Caenorhabditis elegans: one gene and its partners. The protein of the gene in region 1 purifies or fractionates together with the protein of each later gene. This does not show direct contact. Each region holds a gene or a part of one and is shown on either strand. Other genes may lie near its edges. The genes, in order: C29E4.14, rac-2, Y17G9B.8 and mif-4.

Region 1 (6,196 bases):
GCTATCCCTGAGATGGAAATTTTTTGTCTCCATCCTTTAACGAAGAACTAGGGTTACTGTATTTCGGAAGTCGCAATTTACAATTCAACTTATATAACTTACTGGGAACATTTTGATATAGGAATCCAACGGTTTGACCAAGTAATCTCGATCAGACTTATCGTCCACCAAAATAATTTCTTCCAATAAATGACGTGGCGATCGATTGATAACCGAATGGAGTGTTCTCAATAGTGTTGTCCATGCTTCATTATGGAAAACAATAATAATGGAAGTTTTTGGCATTCCAGCAGTTTTCAAATTATTTCCAGACGTGCGGCATGCATCTGATCGGTAATCCGGTAGAGTTCTATTAACTGAAATCATTTCAGAAGCGACAACATTGAATTGATTCTCCAAGAATCTCTTCTCTTTTATAGTTTTTTTGTCTTCTGGAACTGTGACTCCAGTACCTCCTTGTCCATGGTACCCTGGGCCAAATGCTTGAGCTGAAATACACAATTGTTTAAATATAAATTTTTATATTTTGCAATAGCTCACTTTCCATAAGTTTCCTCAATTGATTTGCAGTTTCTTTGTCAACGGGGTAAACTTGTTTCTCTTGTTTTTCAGGTTGAATAGGATGAGCATCTGGATCTGAATCATGTTGAGCTGCTGGTGGTAGTGGTTCTATCCGTCGAGCACGATTCAAGATTCTTAAAAATGATAACAATTAGTTGATGTAAATAATTTTAATAGAATACCTGTTATCCTCCGGAAATGGCTGTTGTTGTGATGTGGATGGATCGAGATAGTAAAAAAGAATAACAACATCAATGAGCAACCAGACGATGGAAGTGGCAATGACAGCACGACATACTGCCGAACGACCACCGCCCACACTCAGCATTCAATTACTCTGAAATTAGAGAATGATTAAAAATTCAGGGGAAAAAAGAAGATAAATTCCGATCAAAATTATTTAACAAGGCTAAATTTTCTTGAATAGTACTGGAAAATTGAAAACATGATAACTTTTGTGATAGAGAATACAAAAAAATGGTTTTAAAAATTCAAATAAAAATATTAATACGTGTCTATTTGAACACGTTTTATATCAAAACTAATAAACCGTGAACAAATTTTTTAAAATTTTTTAACAATTATTATTCCAACAAGCAAAATATACGAGAAGCACAAAAATAATTAAAAGACAATAAAACTGAAATTATCACAGAATTATGAAACTAGAAAGAATAAAAACTGAAGAGAAAAGTGGAAAACTGAGCAAATATTTTTGAATTTTCAGAGAAAGACTACTAATCGGCAAAACTGAGGAATTATGAAAATATACAATATTCAAAAATTAGAAAAAAATAAAGCACAAAATTGATTAGAAGCTTTGTAATGAAGACGGATCAGAAAATATTCAAATATTTCTGCCAACAATATTAATTGGTGTTGGAACAAAAGTAAGAAGTGACTGTGAATTGGGACTTGGAATTGGTGCATTTATTGGAAGAGCCAAACCACACGCGATGAGCCAGTCACCAATATCTCTACCACAACAAGATAAACGAGCTTCACAGGTTGGAACAGCTGGAGCATTTAATTGTTTCCATTGAGACCATCCAGGCTGAGTTGGTTCAACCTGAAATAATTAATTTGCATTTGAAAGTATTCTTTTCATGACTTACCACAACAGGTTCACCACATGCTGCTTCAAAGAATTCTCGAACAGCTTCATGTGACTCGCGGCTCCAAACTTCTCCTCCAGCAACTGGTTTGATTCCTCCGATTTTACACTTGAACATCAGCATTTTTTTGAATGGTGACGTGGAGTTGAGACGTCGCATTGCTTCTTTTCGCACGTATTGGAAAGCGCCCACATCCAGAAGATATACACAATAGGCTTGTTTGTCTGAAAAAAAAAGATGGACATTTCAAGGAAAAAAGGTATAATACTCAGCAAGATTGTAGATGTTTTGTTTTTTTTTTTGGGAAAAATGTGCGAAAAATTCAGATATACTGAGAAACTCACAATTGTTTTATTTACTTTTTCAAAAGTGCAATTTTGAACAGGATATTTAAATTTTTCCAAAATCACAGTTCAATATTACAAAACTATTTTTGCAATTTTTTTCAAAGTTACGGTATTCGGTCTCGACGCGACAAATTTATGTTGAATGAAAAGATGTGTGCGTCTTAAAGAGTACTGTAATTTCAAACATTTTTACGAAAAACTATAAAAATTCCAAAGTAACGAGATCTTTTGATTTACAGTACTTTTTAAAAGCGCACAGCCTCTTGTATTTAATGAAAATTTGTTGTGTCGAGAACTGGTACAGTAATTTTCGAAAATTTTTTTTTCAAAAATTTCCTGGTACAGTAAATAAAATAATAAATAAATATACCTACCAATTTTACTCGCACGAATACACTGAACACGTTCCCAACGATCATCGATAAAAGCCGCGTAGAATCTAAATTTTCAAATATTTAGCTTAAATTTTTTCAAATCAAAAAAAAAAGTCTCACCCTCCAAAATCAGGAGAACTTTCCAGTTGAGAATCAGGCAGAGCACATTCGTCTTTCAACTTTGCATACATATAATCGGGCATCGGGTCTAATGAAAGTTGCCGTAATGAGATGTCCGTGGGTCCTGCAGCGAAAATTGCATTTGCTGGGAACGCTGACATCGGCATTTGAGCAACGGTCATTGGTTGGATCTGAAAATGTTATTCTAAAATTTCTAAACATCAATAGAAGATATTTACCGTCGCAGGTTTGTCAAAAAGACATGTCAAACTGGATGTTGAAGCAGAAGCCGGAGTAATAGGTGAAGTTGTTTTTGTTGGAGTACTCAATCGAACAACTCCAGATGGTTTTTTAAGAAATTCGGTAATTGATAAGCCATCAGAACTTTGAAGATCTACAACTGGTAAAGATTCGGAGTCTGAGGAGTCAAACTTTGAAAGCTGAAAAAATATTCGTGAGATATTATACTTGTAAATAAATATTACTCACTGTTAGATTTATCGGAACCTGAATTCCATCATCTTTTGTCTCGAATGTTAAATCAACAAATTTATTATTCAACCTCAATGATTCTTCTTCACTGACATCCATACGAACTTCTCGAGCCATTGATCCGACTGAAAATTCATTGAAATTTTAAATTAAACGTGAAATTTATAAATTGATTTCTCATACTTTTTTATATTTTTTTTCTTGGTTAATACACGTTAGCAAAAAAGAAACAAAAATCAAAATTAGTATCACTTTTTGAAGATGTTCAGCGCTCTTTTTCTGTTAGCTCTAGTGGTTTTGGTGAGTTTTTAAATATTTTTTTCAATTATAATTTTTTTATAATCCGACATTTCTAGACCGTTAACGGGTTCGATAGGAAAGTACACAGTTTCGCTTCGGATGATGATTTGAGTATTGAGTGAGTTTGAGATACTTCCTTTTTTGAATTAACCTAACTGTTTTAGACATCTAAAAGATCATTACGGGAACAAGATTGAAATCGAAAAGCACACATCATCGAAAGATCGAAAGTTTTATTATTTTAAAGTTGGTGACACCAATCAGGATAATCATTTGGATGGTGTTGAACTCTTCAAAATGATAACGGAACACTCGGATGAGAAAACTAAAATGGATGTAGAGATGATTGAAGTACAAGCTGATCTAGTTCTCAGGTATTATTAAGACGCACAAAAAGGCGTCTTTATTAGAAATTGAAATGATAGAAATTGAAGTGGAAGCGCGCTACACTGCCAAATAAAAGTGCTCCGCCCACGACCCATAGGTCTCGTTAGGTATAATTTTCAAGCATTATACGCCTGTTTTGTTATGTTTTCCGTTAGCTTTATTGATTTTGAAGTTATAAAAAAACAATAATAAAAACAAATAACTGCTTAAAAATCGGCGAAATTAATTGAAAACGTTTTGCCGTCAAATACCTAACGAAATACGTGGATTGGGGGCGGAGCGTTGTCAATTGACCATACATCTCGTTTCCATGTCGATTACAAAAGGGCTCTCATCATCGATAATGATATTTCAAAAATATACATTTTCAGCGAACTCGATAAAAATGGAGATGGGATGATCAGTTTCAGCGAATATTCAAAGAAGTTCTCATAGACTCGAATATTGCTTTTTAATTTTACTCTATAAATTAACTTTCTACCTATTTTTGTGATTATTTTTAGATTTTAATAAAAATTTAAAAAAACTCACTTGACATTACTGGATGCACAGCAGGTGGTAAGAGTCTTATCGCCGCCACAGGGAATTTCTCACAGACGCCAACATCCACAAAATGGCACATGACTTGTCCGGATTGTGGTGGCTGCTTGGCAATTACACGAAACCATGTTCCATTCGAATCTTGAAGGGCATAAGCTCCACCAGCCACAATTTCCTGTAATTAATGAATACAGTTGTCTCATTTATGTAAAAGTACCAGGGCTGGGCATTTTTTGGATTTTTCGAACCAAAAAGGCAACAAAAAACCACTTTGGAACTCCAAACGTTTTTTGTAGATCTACAAAGTATATTTTACAAGTTTCGGGTTTTTTATAGTTTTTAATTCGTTATCCGAAATATTAGTTTTTGAATTCTTTTATTCATCTTTGTATGTTTATCAAAAAATATTTACGTTTTTTAATTGTTTCAACAACTTCAATTTTTTTCTTTTTTCGTCGGAAGCCAGTTGAGCACATGAACTTACATAAATTGCAACTCGACTATCGAGTGCCGATGGCGGAGTTTCTTGAGCATAAATCTCAGCGAGCGTAGTTCCAATTTTTTCATACTGATCGTCATCCGCGAGAGCTCGAATAAAGAATCTCTTTGGCGAATCTGCATAGACGATTGACACAGTTGATCCTTCTTTTAGAGCGACAGATTGTTGAGAAAGCTGAATATTAAATAAAATTGATCTTAAAAAATTGAATTTAAAAAACATACCGTTTTTGCATGCTCCGTTGGCTCATTCTCTTTTCTTTGTTTAATTTTTTTCAACTCATCCGCAGTTGGTTCTCGATCCGTGGAAATGACTGAATAAGTATTGAATGTTTAAATGTTTCAAAAAGAATACAAAATATTTTTAGAAAACATTTGGTGCAGAACAAAAAACAAATTACGAGTGAGTATATAATTACACAACGATTAGAACTCACTGAAATCGGAATTCAATTCCTCCATATTCGAATTAAGGTTAGAGAAGACAGAGGGGGCGTGGTGTTAATGCGAATTGGGCAAGCTGAAAGTAGGGATTAGATGAAGCATCAGCAGCAGGAGGCTTTGGATGATGGGATCAATTTCATGCAATGAAGGGATAGGCTAAGCAAAGAATAAAGGGGATTGGACAGTAAAGAGGTGATGTTAATTAAGTCGTTGAAATGTGAGTATATATTAGGTTGGGAATACTTATGACCGAGTAAATAAATAGAAGAATTGGCGGGAATTTTTAATTTAATCGTTTGTAATACTGTTTGAACAGGTTCCTTTGATTTAGCAATTATTTACTTCATCACTTTTGAAATAATCAGAATTAATTTCTAGTATATTTTTTTTGAAAAACGTGAACTTCATATTGTAGTAATTTTTTACAACAGTGGTTTGTCAAGGGACGTTTTCCTTTTTTTTTAACAATTTGTGTTTCAAAAAGCTATTGATGAGGTAAGAATTTTGTTTCGACGAATCTAAAATAGTCTTAAATTAAGAAATATCATTTAAAAAATCAAAAAAGAATGAAAAATTATACACACTTTTTAACCTATCAGACAGATTTTTCATTTCTTGTCGATTTTCATCATTTTTTCGTATTTCATGATTATTTTGAGTAATTTTAAGTAAACCCCTCATTTTCCGTTTTTTTTGCAGTTTACCCAATGAAATAATCGAATGGATTTTCTTGGGATCCATCCTGTTGCTCACACTTTTCTCAATAATTATGGGTGGTTATTTGACAATGCGGATTAGGAGGGTATTTTCTTTTTGAATTTATTCAGTTAATTCTAAATATTTTAGATGGGCGGATTCAATCTGAAAATTTCATACAGGCCACCGGATTCTGAAGCAGAAACTAAGAAGAAGAAAAAGCAAAAACTAATTATTTGATTTTTAAATATTTTTCGAATAAAAATAAATTAGTAATTTTACTAGTAACACTTCAAACTAATAATTTAGGTCGAGGGACAAA
Region 2 (6,851 bases), on another chromosome or scaffold:
AAACCGACTTTCCATTTTGTTAATCAATCCAACAAAATGGGAATATGCACGTTCGCCATTCTTTGCATTTTACTATTTTACTGCTATTGCCACCTTCTATCCAGTTTATGCTACAATGCCACCAGGAATAGAGTACAAAAAAGATTTTATCATAGAGGTGGTTCCAGATAATAGCCTTGTTAATCATAGAAATTAAATTATCAATTTTCAGTCTCTTCCCTGCCTTAGGGCTGGCCAAATGTCAAAAAATACGACAACTTAAAAAATATTCACGTGACGGGGGTCACTCTTCGACACTTTTGTTTTTGTCAATATTTGACGTGTCGAAAACCGACACCGTCGAGTTTAGACACTCGAAACGTTGATTTATTGTTTTTATTTTTGATTTTATTTCCCAGTTCACGTTTTTTCAAATGAGCACAGAAAACAATGATGTGGCAGTTGAAAAATTTAATAAAATACTTTGATTAACAATTATAATTTTCATTCATTTTTATCCACGTATTCAGTGTCGAAAAGCGACACCACGAAGTGTCAAGAAATGACTTTCTAATTTTTTGAATCACGTGTGAGATTCATTTTTCGACTACAGAAATAAATGAAAATTTTTGTTTATTGACGACACTTGGCCAGCCCTACCCTGCCTATCAGATGAAGTTCGCGCTCTCCCTCTCTACCTTGCCGTGGAAAACAAATTGCAATATCTGATGGGGACTGTAGGAGAAGCAATACTACTTTATGTTACCTGCTTGGCACTCTTTTTTCAAATCTACCGTGCTCTTAAAAAATATGGCAAAGTCCGTTCGAAACAAACCTTGGAACTACAAAAAAAGCTGATGAAGGCGATGTTTTTGCAATTGGCAATTCCCTTTTCCATTATCTCCATTCCAATGGCCTATTTCTCATATACACCATTTTTCAATGCGGCATTGAATAATACTATGTATATTATAGTTGCAACACATGGTTTCATATCAACAATTGTTATGCTCATTGTACAGAAACCTTACCGAGAATTTATCCTGGGAGGTTTCGGGAAGTTTTTTAAACTGAGACAGTCTAGCGAAAATGTTTCGGGGATCAGTTTACACTCGATGAATACAATTGTAGCACCAAACCGAATGTTTTGAATAAATACTACTTTAAACATTGTTTTTGCATTGATTCAAAGCACCGTTTTCTAACGTCGTAACATTTAAGCAGGTGATATTCAGTTTGTAGTTATTACTAATACATTTATTTTGTTTTCAAAGGATAGCCACAATTAAATTTAAAAAAAGATAAATCTCTTTGAAAATGGTATTTTGGTTAAATACTGTTCACTTGAGGGCTTGAAATATAATATAAATCGTTGGAGAGACAGGAGAAACGTCAACAGGGAGAAAACCTGTGTTATTATGTAGAGCACATATATTACAATAGGAAGTGTTAAATAGGAGATGTTAAAGTAGTTAGGAGAATTTCTTTTAAAAAAAGTTATTGTTCTGGATCAAGAATTTTTTATCTCACATATTAAGACAACTAAAGCACAAGAAAAACAGGAACGCTAGGTATAGGAAATAGACGTTTCTGGACATTTGATAAAGATGATTAACAGCTGGAAACAGTATCATCTGAATGAGAAAGTTATGTTTAATGCAATGCACGTGTTGAATACCGCTTTATCGAGTTTTCGATTCATTTTGAACACGTACACATAAACTGGGAATAATGCCGAAAAAACAATCACCGAAGCAATAAAAAATATCTTGAAAGAATAATATATTGTTTCAGTAATTTTTACAATAGTGTCGTTCATTGGTACTTCTTTTAAAGCAATGTACTGCCAAATTTATATTATAGATTAGGAATTAGTGTGAAATAAAGTTACTGACAGGTGAATGTTATTTACGGCAAGAGCGAAAATTTTGTTTCTGTAACATTCTTGACCAATGACAAGTAAAGGTGGAGTACCGAAATGGGTACTTGTGTTTCGCACTACGTTGCTCACTCGCCAAGCTACACACGCCGAGCTGCGGAACTCGGAAGGTATCGGCCGCTTCCAAATAACTACCTTTCGCACTTCGTTGCGCACACACACCGGCGAAGGGCGACGGCGCCTCCGCCGCGCCGCTCTCACATGGAAGCCCTATTCCCTTTTTTTGAAATGTATCCATTTTAATAAAACGTGATGTCCATTACCCCTCTTTAGGCTTAGAAATGGTTATTTCCTGAGCCTAAAGATACAAAAACTCCACACGTTAAAAAAAAAATTTAAATGAGGAAAATTTAAAAATGGCACAATACTACAAATTTTCGTAATTAGATTGCTAAAAAAAACAGTTATGATCACTCAAAAATTTTGGAAAAATCGGCTATATTTTGCTGAAATCTCAAATTTTCACAACTAGGGCTGTTATTTAGGACGTCCTAGGTCGTCCTTGTCATTTTTTGATGGCTTATTTTGGCGTCCGTTTAACAGGAAAATTCAGCCTCAAACTCGAATCCAGATAATATTAACCCAAATAATCTATTTTCGTTATCAAAATTAATGTGTTAAGTCCGAGGACTTTGGTATAAAAATTGGGAGGACGATGAGGACGTCCTGTTTAACAGCCCTATTGACAACTTTTCAGTGTCGCAGCGGTTGGAACTCAATTGTCATCCTAATTTCTGCACTATGACGAAAAGTCAAAGGCGTGGTGTACAGACAACTCAGTGCGAAATGTGGTTTTAGCTGCGGCCGACGCTTTTCGGGTTCCGCTCGGGGGTCACCGCAAAGCGCGCGTGGCAGACGTTATCCCGCCTGCATGGAATCCCTACCTTCCTCATAGGATTCATCAGTAGTTCTCGATCGTTCTTCGGCCCGGCCCAATTCACCTATAAAACTAAATGAAACGCGCATTCAAGGTCATTCCTTATATTTTCCCTATACTCTTATTTCGTTATTTTTGTCTTCCTTATACTTACCACGTGTCTGTTACTCATCTATTCTGTAATTACTTAATTCCTCTGATCAACATGACAAGATGAAATAATCTCACTAGATCCAGTTTTGCTTCTTATTTTTTAAAGTTTTCCGAGGGAAAACGTTAGTTAGATTTCCCCCTCCTATCAGGTTTTCTCCAATGTTTTTCAATATCATGATTAAAATTTGTCCTGTTCTTGAACCAATTTTCAGTTTTTTTGCTCGCGGAGCTCCAGATGCAAGCAATCAAATGTGTCGTCGTTGGTGACGGAGCCGTCGGTAAGACGTGTCTCCTGCTATCGTACACTACAAACGCTTTTCCCGGAGAATATATTCTAACGGTGAGCCACTTTTTGTCGGGGCACTTGAGAAAAATTCGGGTTGGCACTTGAAAATTTTTTTTTCAAAAAATCTTATTTTTTAGCGCAAAAATTTGAAAAAAAATTTGAAAAAAAATCTATCTATACTTTTTTATTTAAAAAACCATGAAAAGTTGAATTCGTTTTTCAAAAAAAGGCAACTTCTGTCCGTAAACGTAAAAATGAAAACATTTTTTGAATGAACCCTCTGAAAGTGGAAAATTTTGACCGAAAACACGATTAAAGTGCTAATTTACATGATGAAAATATGAAAAGTTCTTACCTTTTTTTGCCTGATTTTAACCAGATAAAATTGGAGAACGGTCTGAAATTGGGCTTTTTCCTTATAATCTCGAATTAAGCCCAATATTTATGCAGGTATTCGACACCTACTCAACAAATGTGATGGTCGACGGAAGGCCAATAAATCTCAGCCTATGGGACACAGCTGGACAGGACGATTACGATCAGTACGTGCGGAAAAATCTGAAAAATGCGTCAAAAAATGAGCCAAATTTCATTTTCTCAAAATAGTTGATAGTAAATTTTTTCAAAGTTTTCGCCTATTTTAGAGCAATTTTCTATTTTAGAGCGAAACATTCTGAAACTTCTAAAATTTTTAACCGACCTATTGTCTGCTAAAAGTACAATTTTGTTATTGTGAAAATTGCTAAAAATATTTCCTCCACAACTTTTTTTTCTACTTTTTACAATTTTTCTAGCAATTTTCAAGCGGATTCTATTTTATAATGACAAAAAGAATGTCTATCAAAAAGTAACATTTCATATCAAATTTCGTAGGGAATGAAAAAAATCTTAAACTATATCTAATCTATCTAATGAATGTTTATTGTATTTACATGTGAATGTAAATTTACAGCCCACTTAAATTTCCCCATTTTTCTTCAGATTCCGCCACCTGTCATTTCCACAAACAGACGTATTCCTCGTATGCTTTGCACTGAATAATCCAGCAAGTTTTGAGAATGTTCGTGCAAAATGGTATCCAGAAGTATCACATCATTGCCCAAATACACCGATTATTTTGGTTGGAACTAAAGCTGATTTACGCGAGGATCGAGATACTATTGAACGGTAATTTTTTGGGATTCATTTTAGCATCGAAACAACTTTTTTATCATGTTTGAGAGAGATATGGCAAGAAATTGGGTGTGAAACTTTTGCATATCTCCCCATGTTTTTACCTTTTCGGCCAAAAAAGACAGCAACTCCAATGTAATACCCCCAAAAACTCTTGAAAAATAAAATTTTTGCAGGCTCCGTGAACGTCGGCTCCAACCAGTGAGCCACACCCAGGGTTACGTGATGGCAAAGGAAATCAAGGCGGTCAAGTACCTGGAATGCTCGGCGCTTACCCAAATTGGATTGAAACAAGTTTTCGATGAGGCAATTCGTACTGGGCTCACCCCGCCACAAACACCACAAACGAGAGCCAAAAAGAGCAATTGCACGGTGCTTTAAAATGCGAGGAAATTGGAGAACTCAAATTACAGAAACTACAACAATTTCAACTACCATACTAATTTTCAATACATAAAAGCTTCTGAAGCTTTTCGTCGTTGGAATTTCATATTTTCAGGTCGGAAAAAAAATTGAAGGAGAGGATAATCCCTTGCCTTGAGGACTGATCATCACAAAGTTATTACCACATGATTAGTACCCACCTATAACAGACCAAAAAACGAACCACGTGTGTGTTCAAAGCTAAAATCGGAGTTTCACCATGTTTTTGGCGAGAACTCGTAATTTGAGCTTTGATTGTGAATTCTTTTAGGGCTTCCATGTGGGCGCCGGTCAGGCGCCTCCACCGGCCTCATGTCGCCACTAACGCCGCAAGTATCCGTATGTATAGTGCGGCGCGAAACCTCGAACGTGTCGGCCGCTTCCATATAACTACCACTTCGTTGCGCACATACATCGACGAGGGGCGAAGGCGACGGCGGGCCGGCGTGAGGCCGGCAAAGGCGCCTCCGCCATGCGGCTCTCACATGGAAGCCATAGTTTAATTTGATGGTCATCCTAATTTCTGCACTATGACGAAAAGTCAAAGGCGTGGTGTACAGACAACTCAGTGCGAAATGTGGTTTTAGCTGCGGCCGACGCTTTTCGGGTTCCGCTCGGGGGTCACCGCAAAGCGCGCGTGGCAGACGTTATCCCGCCTGCATGGAATCCCTACCTCCCTCATAGGATTCATCAGTAGTTCTCGATCGTTCTTCGGCCCGGCCCAATTCACCTATAAAACTAAATGAAACGCGCATTCAAGGTCATTCCTTATATTTTCCTTATACTCCTGTTTCGTTATACTTTTCTTCCTTATACTTACCACGTGTCTGTTGTTTGTCCCCATTTACTCTTCTATTCTGTAATTGCTTCATCCCTTTAATAAACACGACAAGATGAAATATTCTTACTATATCCAGTTTTGCTTCTCATTTTTTAGTTTTTCGAGGGAACAAGTTATGGGGTTATTCAAGTAGTGTCGGAAAATTAAAAGGTGTAGGAATATTACGTCACTTTGTGTATTAAAATACATAAAAAACATGTACATAAAGTGACCTAATATTCCTACACTTTTTTAATTTTCCGACACTACTTGAATAACCCCATTAGGTTTCCCCCCGAAGGTTATCTCCTATATTTTTCAATATCATGATTAAAATTTTTCCTGTTCTTGAACCAATTTTCAGTTTTTTTGCTCGCGGAGCTCCAGATGCAAGCAATCAAATGTGTCGTCGTTGGTGACGGAGCCGTCGGTAAGACGTGTCTCCTGCTATCGTACACTACAAACGCTTTTCCCGGAGAATATATTCTAACGGTGAGCCACTTTTTGTTGGGCAATTTGAGAAAAATGGCGTGCAAAAATCAGAAAAAAATCGTCATTTTTATTTAAGAAAACATAAAAAGTTGAACTTGTTTCTCAAAAAAAGCAACATTTGTCCATAAACGTAGAAATGGGTAAAAATTTAGAATAAAAAGTGGGTAATTTTTACCGAAAATACTTTGCCTGATTTTGAGCAGAGAAAATTAAAAGCGGTCTGAAATTTGACTATAAATTCAAATAATGTTCAATATTTCTGCAGGTGTTCGACACCTACTCAACAAATGTGATGGTCGACGGACGGCCAATAAATCTCAGCCTATGGGACACAGCTGGACAGGAAGATTACGATCAGTACGAGCGGAAAAATCTGAAAAATTTCTCGAAAAATGAGCCAGATTTCATAAATATTTTCTCAAATTATTTGATAACATTTTTTCAAAGTTATCGCCTATTTCAGAGCAATTTTCAATAAAAATTGGAATTGGCCTAGGCTTAATTTGTACCTTTTTTGATAAAAACTTATGATTATTAAATTTTCTGGAAAACAGGTGAAAATGGTAAAATATTTCAAATTTTACTCGAATAGTTGAACACTAATTTTCAATTCATTCTAGTGAAATCTACTCATTTTTAGAGAAAGTACAATTTTTTTACAGTAAAAATTGCTCGGAACTTTTCCTCAACAACATTTTTTTCTAATTTT
Region 3 (6,938 bases), on another chromosome or scaffold:
CATTCCTTCTCACATCATAACCACCTATGACACGATAATCACCACATCCCGATAACTTTTTCGGCAAATGAACAATAAATTCTCTATCTGCTGGGGCAACGTGATATGCTATACCTTTAAAAAGTGGTTCGAGAACATCTTCAACGTCCCACCTGAATGCATCTAAATCGAACCATGCAGATTTCAGTTTTCTGTCGGATCTGTGCATCCAGTGCTTCAGAAATATATTGACATCTTCGATTTTCAGAAAAGCGGTGAATGAACGGGCATTTGTAACAAACACATCATTAAGATCACATTTCGTTGATACTACGTTCATGTTTCGTGTTAAAATCATTTGCATTTGTTTAGATGGTTCTATTGAGAATGGGTTTCTATTTAAACAAATTGAATCAGTTTTGCCGGAAAACTGTCTCAATGCATCTTCATCTTGTGAACTATTGTTGTCCGATGTCATGGACATCATGGACAACCACCCAAACTCCATTCCTTTGAGTTCATTAGAACATTCAGGGTCAGCTGTACTAATATGTAAGCTATCAAGTTTTGTTTGATGAAATATTTCCATAAGATGATTCAAAAATTGTCTCACTCCAAAAAATGGGGTTTCCCATCTTTCCCCTCTGAAACCAACATGCACTCTTATGGGCTTCTGTACAGTATGGTGGCTGGGGGTTGAACATTCGAAAGTGTAGAATCGGAAATCTCTACAACCGGAAACGTCAATCAATATTTCATTTGAATTAATTGCGATGATAAAACGTTCGGTTTTTATACCAAGGTGTTTAGTTTGTTGCATTGCAGCTTTAGATGTGAATGATAATTCAACTCTGTAATGAATATTTCATATTGACAAGGAAATGCGATTAGTGAACCATATCCCTGGATCAAGGCTATTTGAGAACGGGATGTTTGAATTTTAATTTTACTAGTCGGAGGAAGTCGAGAGGTAGGCTCGAAAGACACCGGCTTGTTGAGTAATAAAAGTTTCAAAGTAACTATACATTTCATTAAAACTTCTCGAATCACTCAAGCAATTTTTCGAATTACGCTCTTCAGCAAACTACAGAAAAAATTTAATGATGATCTATGTACTCACAATGCTTCTATGCACATTCTGCGCAGCACGACATCAATCGATTTTTGAGGTAATTTGAGCAATGTGAAGGGAATAGGCACATAGTCATCCATGGTCACAAATAAAGAATGAGCAGATGGGAGGATTGAGTGGTAATGTTCAGTGACCTCTTATTTCTCTAACTCTCTACTTACTTGTTATTATACATCTGCTGCAGAGACAAAGATTTCCTTCGTCCGTAACCACTCCCATGTTCCCAGGACCCATTAACATATTCTAACGTCTTCTTATTCTGACAAAAAGAATCTTCTCAAACACTTCACTCTCACGGACGAACGGACAATCATCTTATGGAAATATTTCATCAAAAGAGAATTGATAAGTTATCATTTGATACTGCACAATTCGAAAGTACGATTTGTGATGAATTCGAAGGATTGGAGTTTGAGGATTTGCAGCTAGGCACAGTGTTTGGCTTTAACAGTTTGCTATATGAACATGTGTTGAAACAGTTTTCCGGTAAAACTGATTCAATTTGTACAAGCAGCAAAAACCCGTTCTCAATAGAAGCATCTAAACAAATGCAAATGGTTTTAACACGTAACATGGACATAGTTGTACTACACCAATCATTGAAATATGATCTTAATGATGTACTAAATAGTGACAAATGCTTCCGCATTCGTCGCTTATCTAAGAATCAAAGATGTCAATATATTTTTGAAACACTGGATTCACGGAGTCGACAGGAAACTGGAATCTGCGAATTTCGATTTTACTGCATTCAGGTGAGACGAAGATCTTCTCGAATCACTCTTTGAAGGTATAGAATATCTAGCAGATAGCTATCTCTAGTGCGCTTTCGATGCTGAGGAGACTGTGGATAGAGAATTTTTTGTTCTTTTGCCGTTGGGATTGACGGGATGTGACGAGTATCCTGTCAAAGGTGGTTATGATGTGAGAAGGAATGATGGGATGACGGCTATGTACTATTTATCATTGTAGATCGTGCAGATATATTAATCAAAATGTTTTTCTGGTTTTAAAATCACGTTAATTTTTAATAATCAAGACCACGCATTGGATCACTTTCTAATTTTTTCTGCACTCTCTGAATTATTTCTCTTGTATAATTTTCGAATAATGTTGCCGCCAATAATAACACGTTTTATTTTTGATAAGAACAACTTTTATGGACAAATAAAAAACATTGTGAGATTTATGAGAAGGAATTCCGGGATTTTTAGGAGTTACATACAATAAATACTGTCAATTAATTGGATTATGGCCTCATTTCTTTTTGTGGCCATTTCCCTTTTTTGGAGCAGTTGATGCAGTGAGCCCTGCAACTTCTCGGAAGGCAACCACGTATTTCTGAGCAACCGGCATTGGAGGGCAGAATCCTGATGCATAGCTGTCGTCTTCGAACGCTACTTGATATGGTTCTCGAAAATCTGCTGGCGGGGAGTGAACTATTCCTGGAAAATAATTATTTTATTTTTGAAACTTTTGTGAAAATTGGTACCTTTGTAGAAGCAAGTGGTTTGTGGATACAACGCCAACACAATCGCATTTTTCTCGAAAAGTGCATGCTTGTCTGATGCAGGATTCGCTTTCCATTTTGGGAGGGGTAACAAATGGCTTCTCGCGAAAACTGTCAACTTCTTCTTGTCATCATCAACGTCTCGACACTCATATCGCGAGTTAGAGTGACATGTGACAATATCAGCAAGAATCCAGTTTCCGTCTTTACTGAATGCCGCCACTGAATCTCCGTCGCCTAGTTTCGAGCCATCCTGTGGTGCAATAGCTCCAACATATTCTCCAGGAAATTGTGTGTCATGGCTGGTCCATAATGGAAGAAGGTCGCCGCGAACCTTGATCAGTTCCATTAAATCTCTCCGACTGATGTCTCCGGCCATTTGGGAGCGATAATCCATTTCAGCAACACGTTTTACTTCGTCCAAAAGATTTCTGTAATATTTATTTTAATTTTGAGAGATTAAAGATGAAAACGAACCTAATGAATGATTGTTGTGATTCCACAGATCGATGAGTGCTGGTGACAAAATGTGAAATTCCATCGAAAACCATGGAAACTTCTCAGTAAACCCGTTCAGAATATACCCAGATTTCAACCGAATTTGTGCACAGCATGCAGAAATCGCCGAATTTGTACAGATTGCAAATTTGAACAGATTTTCGAGGCAATTGCCCCGAAAATTTTGTTGAAACTATTCAAAACTTTACTTCAAATTTTAAAAATTTATCTAAAACTTGGTCTTCATTGATTTCTTTTGTTAAGATTTTAATTGATATTTGCAAGAAAACTTTAAAATCGTGGCGAGACCCAGCCGTACAACCACGTGCCCCTTTAAACAGACTACTGTATTTATATTGAATTTTTAATGATTGGATTTCGCAAAAATTAGTTATAAAAATTGTTTAAAAAAACCCACTTTACCCTTTCCATAGGGGTTCGGCTCATTATCTCGGAATTCTTGAAGTTTTTGCAGATTCTCGTTGATAGCGTCTTGCTTCGATTTCACTGTTGGCAGCTGGAAAATTAATTTCAAAACTAGGAATAAATAAATAAATAAAACTCACCTTTTTGATAACCTCTTCGGCGGTTTTCTTCTTCATTTCCTCGGTGATTTGCACATCGTTCTTCTTCCGAGGCATTTTGAAATTATGCTATTTTCCTGAACAAGGAAATGAAGAGGTGCAATAGAGCAGATATATATTTAAACGGGAAGAATCGAGAGAGACCTGATTACGTGATGAGACGGGGAGAGTGCAGACATTACAAGTCGTATGCTGTGAATGAGGCAATGAAAAGGCCAGGTTGTTGCGGTGGGAAAATAACGTATATGGAGTAATTTACCAGTGAAAAGCCGGGAATAGTTGAAATTCATATTCTAATCAATCAATCAGAGCAGTAATGCATTGTAAAATTATACCTCAAACAAATTCATCTTTGAAAAAAAATCAAAATAAATGCGGGCAATATACATGTCGAATATAAACAAAATAGTCGTGGGTTGTCACAATTTGGGCATTGGAGAATCTATATACATAAAACAACTAAAACAAAAAAGGAAAATAAAATAGGGGAAGTTAGTTGGAATATTCAACAGGAACCACTCGGTTATTTAAATACATATACAATAATACAGACTTATGCACATTACTACTAATTATAGGACATATATGGAGTTACTCGTCCTCTTCATCCAGTTCGAATGTTTCGAGAAACGAGATCAGGTCGTCGACTGGCGCAATTCCGTTTTCCAGCGAGATCATATCCTTTTCGACCTCGAATTCGTGGATTTCGACTGGCTCTTCGACAATCAGCACTCGCCGGTTCATGCACTTCACCGTTTGCTCCAATTCGATGTACTGAAAATGTTATAAATTGGAAATCGATAGAATTATTGCTATACAACTCACTCTATTTCTTCGGAAAGGATCCCTGGTGCTCGAGTTGTTCTTGTACACGATCCTCGTTTCCACGTGGCGCTTTCCTCGAATTGAACACGTGATTGATGCAGTCGAAGTCATCAGCCGGCCTTGTGAATCGAGTCCTGGCTCGAGATTTCCGTATTCCCGGCAGTGTGTGGTTCTCAGGAGACGAGTGATAGTCTGAAACATGAAAAGTTATTTGTGTGTAATATAAAACCGATTTACTTACTCTCTTCGTCTGTGATCGGATCAGGGTTGCAACCACAAAGCTATCTGTCATTTGGAACCTTTCGTTTTCCTTCTCTAGTTGTTCGAGCAATGCAAATAACGTTTGGAACGACATTTCATTGGTTGTCTGGATAGCAAATCGAGCCACATTTTGTCCCGTTTCCTTCGGTTCGGTCAGGAGAGAAGTCTGAAATGAGATTTATGCTTTATCAAAAATATGGCCAAGAAACTAACCAGAATCAAACTAGAGATATCCTCGACCGACAGCTTCCGGCACTGAGCGGCAAAATAATGTGGTCGTTGGTTGGGATGAAGAAACACGTGCTCGACAAGCGCTTTCTCCGATTCTCTGGTCGTGTGGAACCATCTTTGCGAGAAATAGTCGTAGCGCTTAAGACGAAGATTTTCAATCGGCACAGTCTGAATGTGCCGGAGCACTTTGACAGCTTCATCGCGGATGATTGTCTTGCTCGGTTTCTTGTCGACGAGCTTTGGAGTCTCATCGATACGATGAACGGAACAGTAGTTCTCATCTTCGACGAGCTCCACATCTTCTCCGTGCCCTTCGATAATTACATCATGATTGATGTTGGGTTGTGGTGGGAGGGAAGAGCAACCGGCTCGAGCGGTTTCCAAGCGATCTTCTTCGGCGTAGTTGGCGACGTATCTGGTCGCCGTCAAATCGCGAAGGACGGTGCGAGATGGAGCTGACATTCTGAAAAACGTTGATTTAAAATTTTATAAAAAATTTGAAGCAAAAATGAAAGAGAAAACTAAAAAAAAAGTAAATGTACTGAAGTGATTGGCAGATTAATAATAATTTATCGATAAAACCATTTTTTAAAAAACTTCATCAGTTTTTGTGAGTGTCAGCAAAGAAGAAGAAGATTCACGATCAAAAATTCGTTGAGCCTATATGAAATAGTTGCGCTGGTTTTTCGACGGGGGGATCAAATACGTCAAATAGGTCAAATAGACGAAGCATTCATAAAAAGTACAATATTCATTGAAAAATAGTTTTGGATTTGTTTTTTTGTTTTCTTCATTTTTTTGTTGAAAAAATAATGGTAATTAAAAGTTTTTAATAATTATTTAAATCAAGATTGAAATATCAGAAAACGACAAAAATTCGTTCGAGAACTTTCTCAAGACTACCGTACTCTTTAAAGACGCATGACGATTTTCACATGGGTCTCACCACGACTTGTCTGAAATTTGAATGTTCGTTCAAAAACTTTTTTTTTTGCGATTTTCAAAACCAAAGCTTAACAAACAATTTTCCTCAAGTTTTCAACGCTTTTTGCTCGTTTTTTTCGCTCAAATAAATTATTTCAGAAGGTTTTGCAATGGGGGTTATCATCCCCGCTGTACTTCTCGCTTCGGCGACGATAATCGCTTGGCTTCTCTACAAACACTTGAGAATGCGTCAAGCTTTGAAGGTTTGATTTCAAAATTCATTTGAAGATAATTTAAATAAATTTTCAGCATCTCAATCAACCACGTTCATATCCAATCGTCGGTCACGGACTGGTCACCAAGCCAGATCCAGAGGGATTCATGAACCAAGTAATTGGAATGGGATATTTATATCCAGATCCACGTATGTGTCTTTTGTGGATTGGTCCGTTCCCTTGCCTGATGCTCTACTCCGCCGATCTCGTGGAACCAATTTTCTCGTCGACGAAACATCTGAACAAAGGTTTCGCATACGTTTTGCTTGAGCCATGGCTTGGAATCAGTATTTTGACAAGCCAGAAGGAACAATGGCGTCCAAAGCGAAAACTCTTGACACCCACCTTCCATTATGATATTCTGAAGGATTTTTTGCCGATTTTCAACGAGCAATCAAAGATTTTGGTTCAGAAAATGTGTTCCCTCGGAGCAGAGTGAGAATTTCAATTTATAACGCTTTCAAATATTCATTTTCAGGGAAGAAGTTGATGTTCTCTCCGTTATAACCTTGTGCACTCTTGATATCATTTGTGAAACTTCCATGGGCAAAGCTATCGGTGCTCAACTCGCGGAGGTTCGAGAAATTCTTCAATCGCAACATTTCTAAACGTTTTTTTTTCAGAATAACGAGTATGTATGGGCGGTGCACACAATCAACAAGCTGATCTCAAAGCGAACAAATAATCCGTTAATGTGGAATTCGTTTATTTACAATTTG
Region 4 (2,907 bases), on another chromosome or scaffold:
TTATTTATTACTCGGAAGTGAAATTTTACGATTTTTGCGCCAGATATACGGTAGCCGGTCTCGCCACGAACAATTTTAGTTAAATGCGACAAGGTCTCGGTTGTTGCGGAATTTTTATAGAATTTCATAGTTTTTTAGACAAAAAACACTTTTATTTATGTTTAAAACAACTCAAATATAACAATAAAACGCATGAATTCCAACAAATCGATGCTACAGTAATCTTTAAAGGCACACGTCTTTTCACATTTCCTATGCTTGTCGTGTCGAGACCGTGTGCCGTATTTCTGGCGCAAAAAACAACAAAATTTCGCTTTTGAACAATAATTAAATAAAAAAGAAATTTAAAAAATGAGACGTGGGAATTGTATACGGTTAATTTCAAAGAATTCACGGGAAAATTCATTGAAAAAATTCAAATCTCAGAAAAAAAGTGAAGAGTGAACAGTTTTAGAAACCTTGTCAGTTTGGAAAACTACGTGATAACTCAAAAGAACGGAAGAAAGTTTCTCACTTTTCCGTGTCTCTCTGTAATCTCTTGACAAAGCCCACTATTTCAGGCCATCAGAGAACAGGGTCGGGAGGATCACGCCACTCGTTTCAACACTCAGTAGTCCACAGCTTGCACTACCCACATTGTTTCTCCGTCTGCGTATCCACGTCTTATGTTGTCTCTCGCATTGTCTTTCTATTTCTGAGTCTCTTGCACCTCTCTGTCATCATGCATATATACAATTGAAATGGAAAGGACAGACTGCACTAAACCGAAAAGCACGTGGTCTTGTCTGGGAGGAGAAGAATGTTGAAGACAAATCACACGACAACGTGATATGTGACGTCACAGAGGGGAGTCCCCACGTGACAGGTACTTTAATGAGACAGAGAAAGTTCGAAATGTTGAGTCACGAATCGCGAACGGAATTGAGCCGAGTGGAAAAAAAGAGTTGGAAATTTCGAGATGAGCAGCCAGCTGATTTAGTCTACAGTAATCTAGAATAACTAAACAAAAGTTTTTGAACCTATTCCAGCTTTATGAGTCATGAAAAATGGAGCGCAGCAATAAAAATATGGTGTACGAATTTCAGGAAATACTTCTCGTTAACAAAGATAGTTTGAAACTACAGTACTGTTCAAAGCGCTGACATGGTTGTGTCTAAGAAAAATTGTCGTACCGAGACCTGGTACCGTATTATTATAGCAAAAATCGCGAAAATCTGCATCTGAATAATATCAACTACATAACTGAGATCGTGGCGAGACCCTAATGAAATTACGATAATATAAATAATATTGATTCAAAACTGTGATTCTTGCTTCTAGTTGTTGCAACACATTCTGATCTGTGTCTCCCTAACCTACTTCCGATTTTCACCAAAAAAACCGTGTGCCCAACCCAAAATTCAAGGTCAAACTTATTTCCATTTCCCCGTACTAATTGTTTCCATGTCATCCCATTTCTGTCCATCCTGCGCACATAACATTGACAAATGGAGTTGTGTATTTATTGTCGAGTGCACGCTCTTTTCTTCGAGCGACATGTTTTCTCAGCTGGCTGAGCATTTTTTCCCGTTGGTTTTTATGTTGCGAAACGACAATTTCTCTTTTTTTTAAAATATTTTCAAGCCGAATTTCAAAATTTTAGAATTAAAATGCAAGTTGTTCGAATTCAAACCAACATCCGAAGTGCTGATATTCCAGAAAAGTTTGAAGTAAGTTTGCATAAAACGAAATTTCTAATTTCTAATATTTTCAGCAAGATGTGATCTACAATTTATCAGTTGTAATGGAATTACCAGCTGATAAATTCGTGATTATTGTTGAGCCGGCAGTTAGAATGAGAATTGGATTTGAGAATAAAGAAATTCCAGTTGCAATTGTAAATGTGCGTTTTTTTTTATTTTGAAAAAATATTAGGCTTGGGTCTTGTCACGTGTAAAATTTTTCAGCTACAGTAACCTGTGTATTTTTCAAAATCTGAAAACTTTTTTATAATTAAAATTTTTTTAATCGAGAAGAAATGTGTGAAAAATAGAAAAACTAACTAGATTCATAAAATATAAGTTAATTTTATGAGAAAAATATTTTTAACTAAAAAGTGATAGAATACCGGGGTACGGTAGCTGACAAGTTTTGGACGTGCCGGGACCAGAGACCGTGTTTTTTTTTTTTGAAAATGTCAACTCGTTGAAAATTAAGAATAACAATTTTCAGTTCCAAACAACCCGGCCTTCTTCTCGAATCGAAAATGACTCATATGCAAAAAAATTGACATCAGTGCTCAATGAGCAGTTGAAGCTTGATCCCGCCCATATTTTCATATCATTTGATTTTAAAGATGCAAAAAGTTTTGCAACTCAAGGGAAGACAATTGCTTCTTTGTATGAATAAATTTGTAAAAAAGTTGAAACGCATGGATTTAACAATGAAGTAAACATCTGAAAACATCGAAAAAAACAAGACAAAGCATAATTCATAAGTTATTTTATAGCAAAAGGGAGGGAGCAAAATTAGCATTAATGAGAAATAGAAACTTTGACAAGAAAATGTAAAAATAAGTTATGCTGAATATAATGACTAGAGTTACATAAATTATTGAACGGAATGTGAATAAGAAATCACACATTAATTTAGTTACAGAAAAGCTGGAAATAGTTTGAGATTGAGCTGGCTTATTGGCTTTGCTGTTGGATGTTGGTGAGCTTGGATTCTGAAATTAAAAATCTTTGAATTTTTTCTTGAAAGGCTTAACCTACCGAGTTGGGTAACATAATTTTCAAGAACAGCGGTAGCTTCCTCCAATCTCCGGGTGCTCTCATCCATAGCATCAATTTGGGAAAGATATGGACGCAGATTCTCGTCTGGAAAATAATCTTTCATAAATTTTCCGAAATAAATAATAAAGGCATA

What was found.
Region 2: the proteins of C29E4.14 (region 1) and rac-2 fractionate together in Caenorhabditis elegans (co-fractionation; one large-scale study listed by BioGRID). This does not show direct contact.
Region 3: the proteins of C29E4.14 (region 1) and Y17G9B.8 fractionate together in Caenorhabditis elegans (co-fractionation; one large-scale study listed by BioGRID). This does not show direct contact.
Region 4: the proteins of C29E4.14 (region 1) and mif-4 fractionate together in Caenorhabditis elegans (co-fractionation; one large-scale study listed by BioGRID). This does not show direct contact.

Annotation. Positions count from the first base shown.
Region 1 is NC_003281.10:7,916,870-7,923,065, forward strand, and holds C29E4.14 (EF-hand domain-containing protein), read left to right. Parts: upstream 1-3,253; 5' UTR 3,254-3,270; coding exon 3,271-3,309; intron 3,310-3,365; coding exon 3,366-3,427; intron 3,428-3,473; coding exon 3,474-3,683; intron 3,684-4,067; coding exon 4,068-4,131; 3' UTR 4,132-4,221; downstream 4,222-6,196. Other genes in the region: gly-3 (Polypeptide N-acetylgalactosaminyltransferase 3), read right to left, coding at 103-488, 541-695, 744-889; Putative protein tag-250, read right to left, coding at 1,409-1,630, 1,677-1,900, 2,398-2,462, 2,518-2,708, 2,757-2,957, 3,007-3,134, 4,228-4,411, 4,721-4,909 and 1 more; C29E4.17 (Spiroplasma plectrovirus-related protein), read left to right, coding at 5,669-5,673, 5,878-5,980, 6,025-6,114.
Region 2 is NC_003282.8:16,305,042-16,311,892, forward strand, and holds rac-2 (Ras-related protein rac-2), read left to right. Parts: upstream 1-3,183; coding exon 3,184-3,288; intron 3,289-3,684; coding exon 3,685-3,776; intron 3,777-4,215; coding exon 4,216-4,401; intron 4,402-4,583; coding exon 4,584-4,788; downstream 4,789-6,851. UniProt on the Caenorhabditis elegans protein: During gonad morphogenesis, plays a role in distal tip cell (DTC)-mediated guidance of gonad elongation.
Region 3 is NC_003282.8:4,754,946-4,761,883, forward strand, and holds Y17G9B.8 (SGF29 C-terminal domain-containing protein), read right to left. Parts: upstream 3,896-6,938; 5' UTR 3,686-3,895; intron 3,637-3,685; 5' UTR 3,173-3,636; coding exon 3,099-3,172; intron 3,053-3,098; coding exon 2,604-3,052; intron 2,557-2,603; coding exon 2,369-2,556; 3' UTR 2,232-2,368; downstream 1-2,231. Other genes in the region: fbxb-77 (F-box associated domain-containing protein), read right to left, coding at 115-830, 1,100-1,191; Y17G9B.11 (PID domain-containing protein), read left to right, coding at 1,660-1,866, 1,917-1,997; memi-1 (MEiosis-to-MItosis transition associated), read right to left, coding at 4,295-4,477, 4,529-4,720, 4,770-4,955, 5,003-5,482; cyp-31A3 (CYtochrome P450 family), read left to right, coding at 6,115-6,207, 6,254-6,654, 6,698-6,794, 6,843-6,937.
Region 4 is NC_003282.8:6,334,730-6,337,636, reverse strand, and holds mif-4 (Macrophage migration inhibitory factor), read left to right. Parts: upstream 1-1,642; 5' UTR 1,643-1,649; coding exon 1,650-1,709; intron 1,710-1,753; coding exon 1,754-1,882; intron 1,883-2,211; coding exon 2,212-2,388; 3' UTR 2,389-2,407; downstream 2,408-2,907. Other genes in the region: blos-2 (Biogenesis of lysosome-related organelles complex 1 subunit 2), read right to left, coding at 2,670-2,707, 2,754-2,858.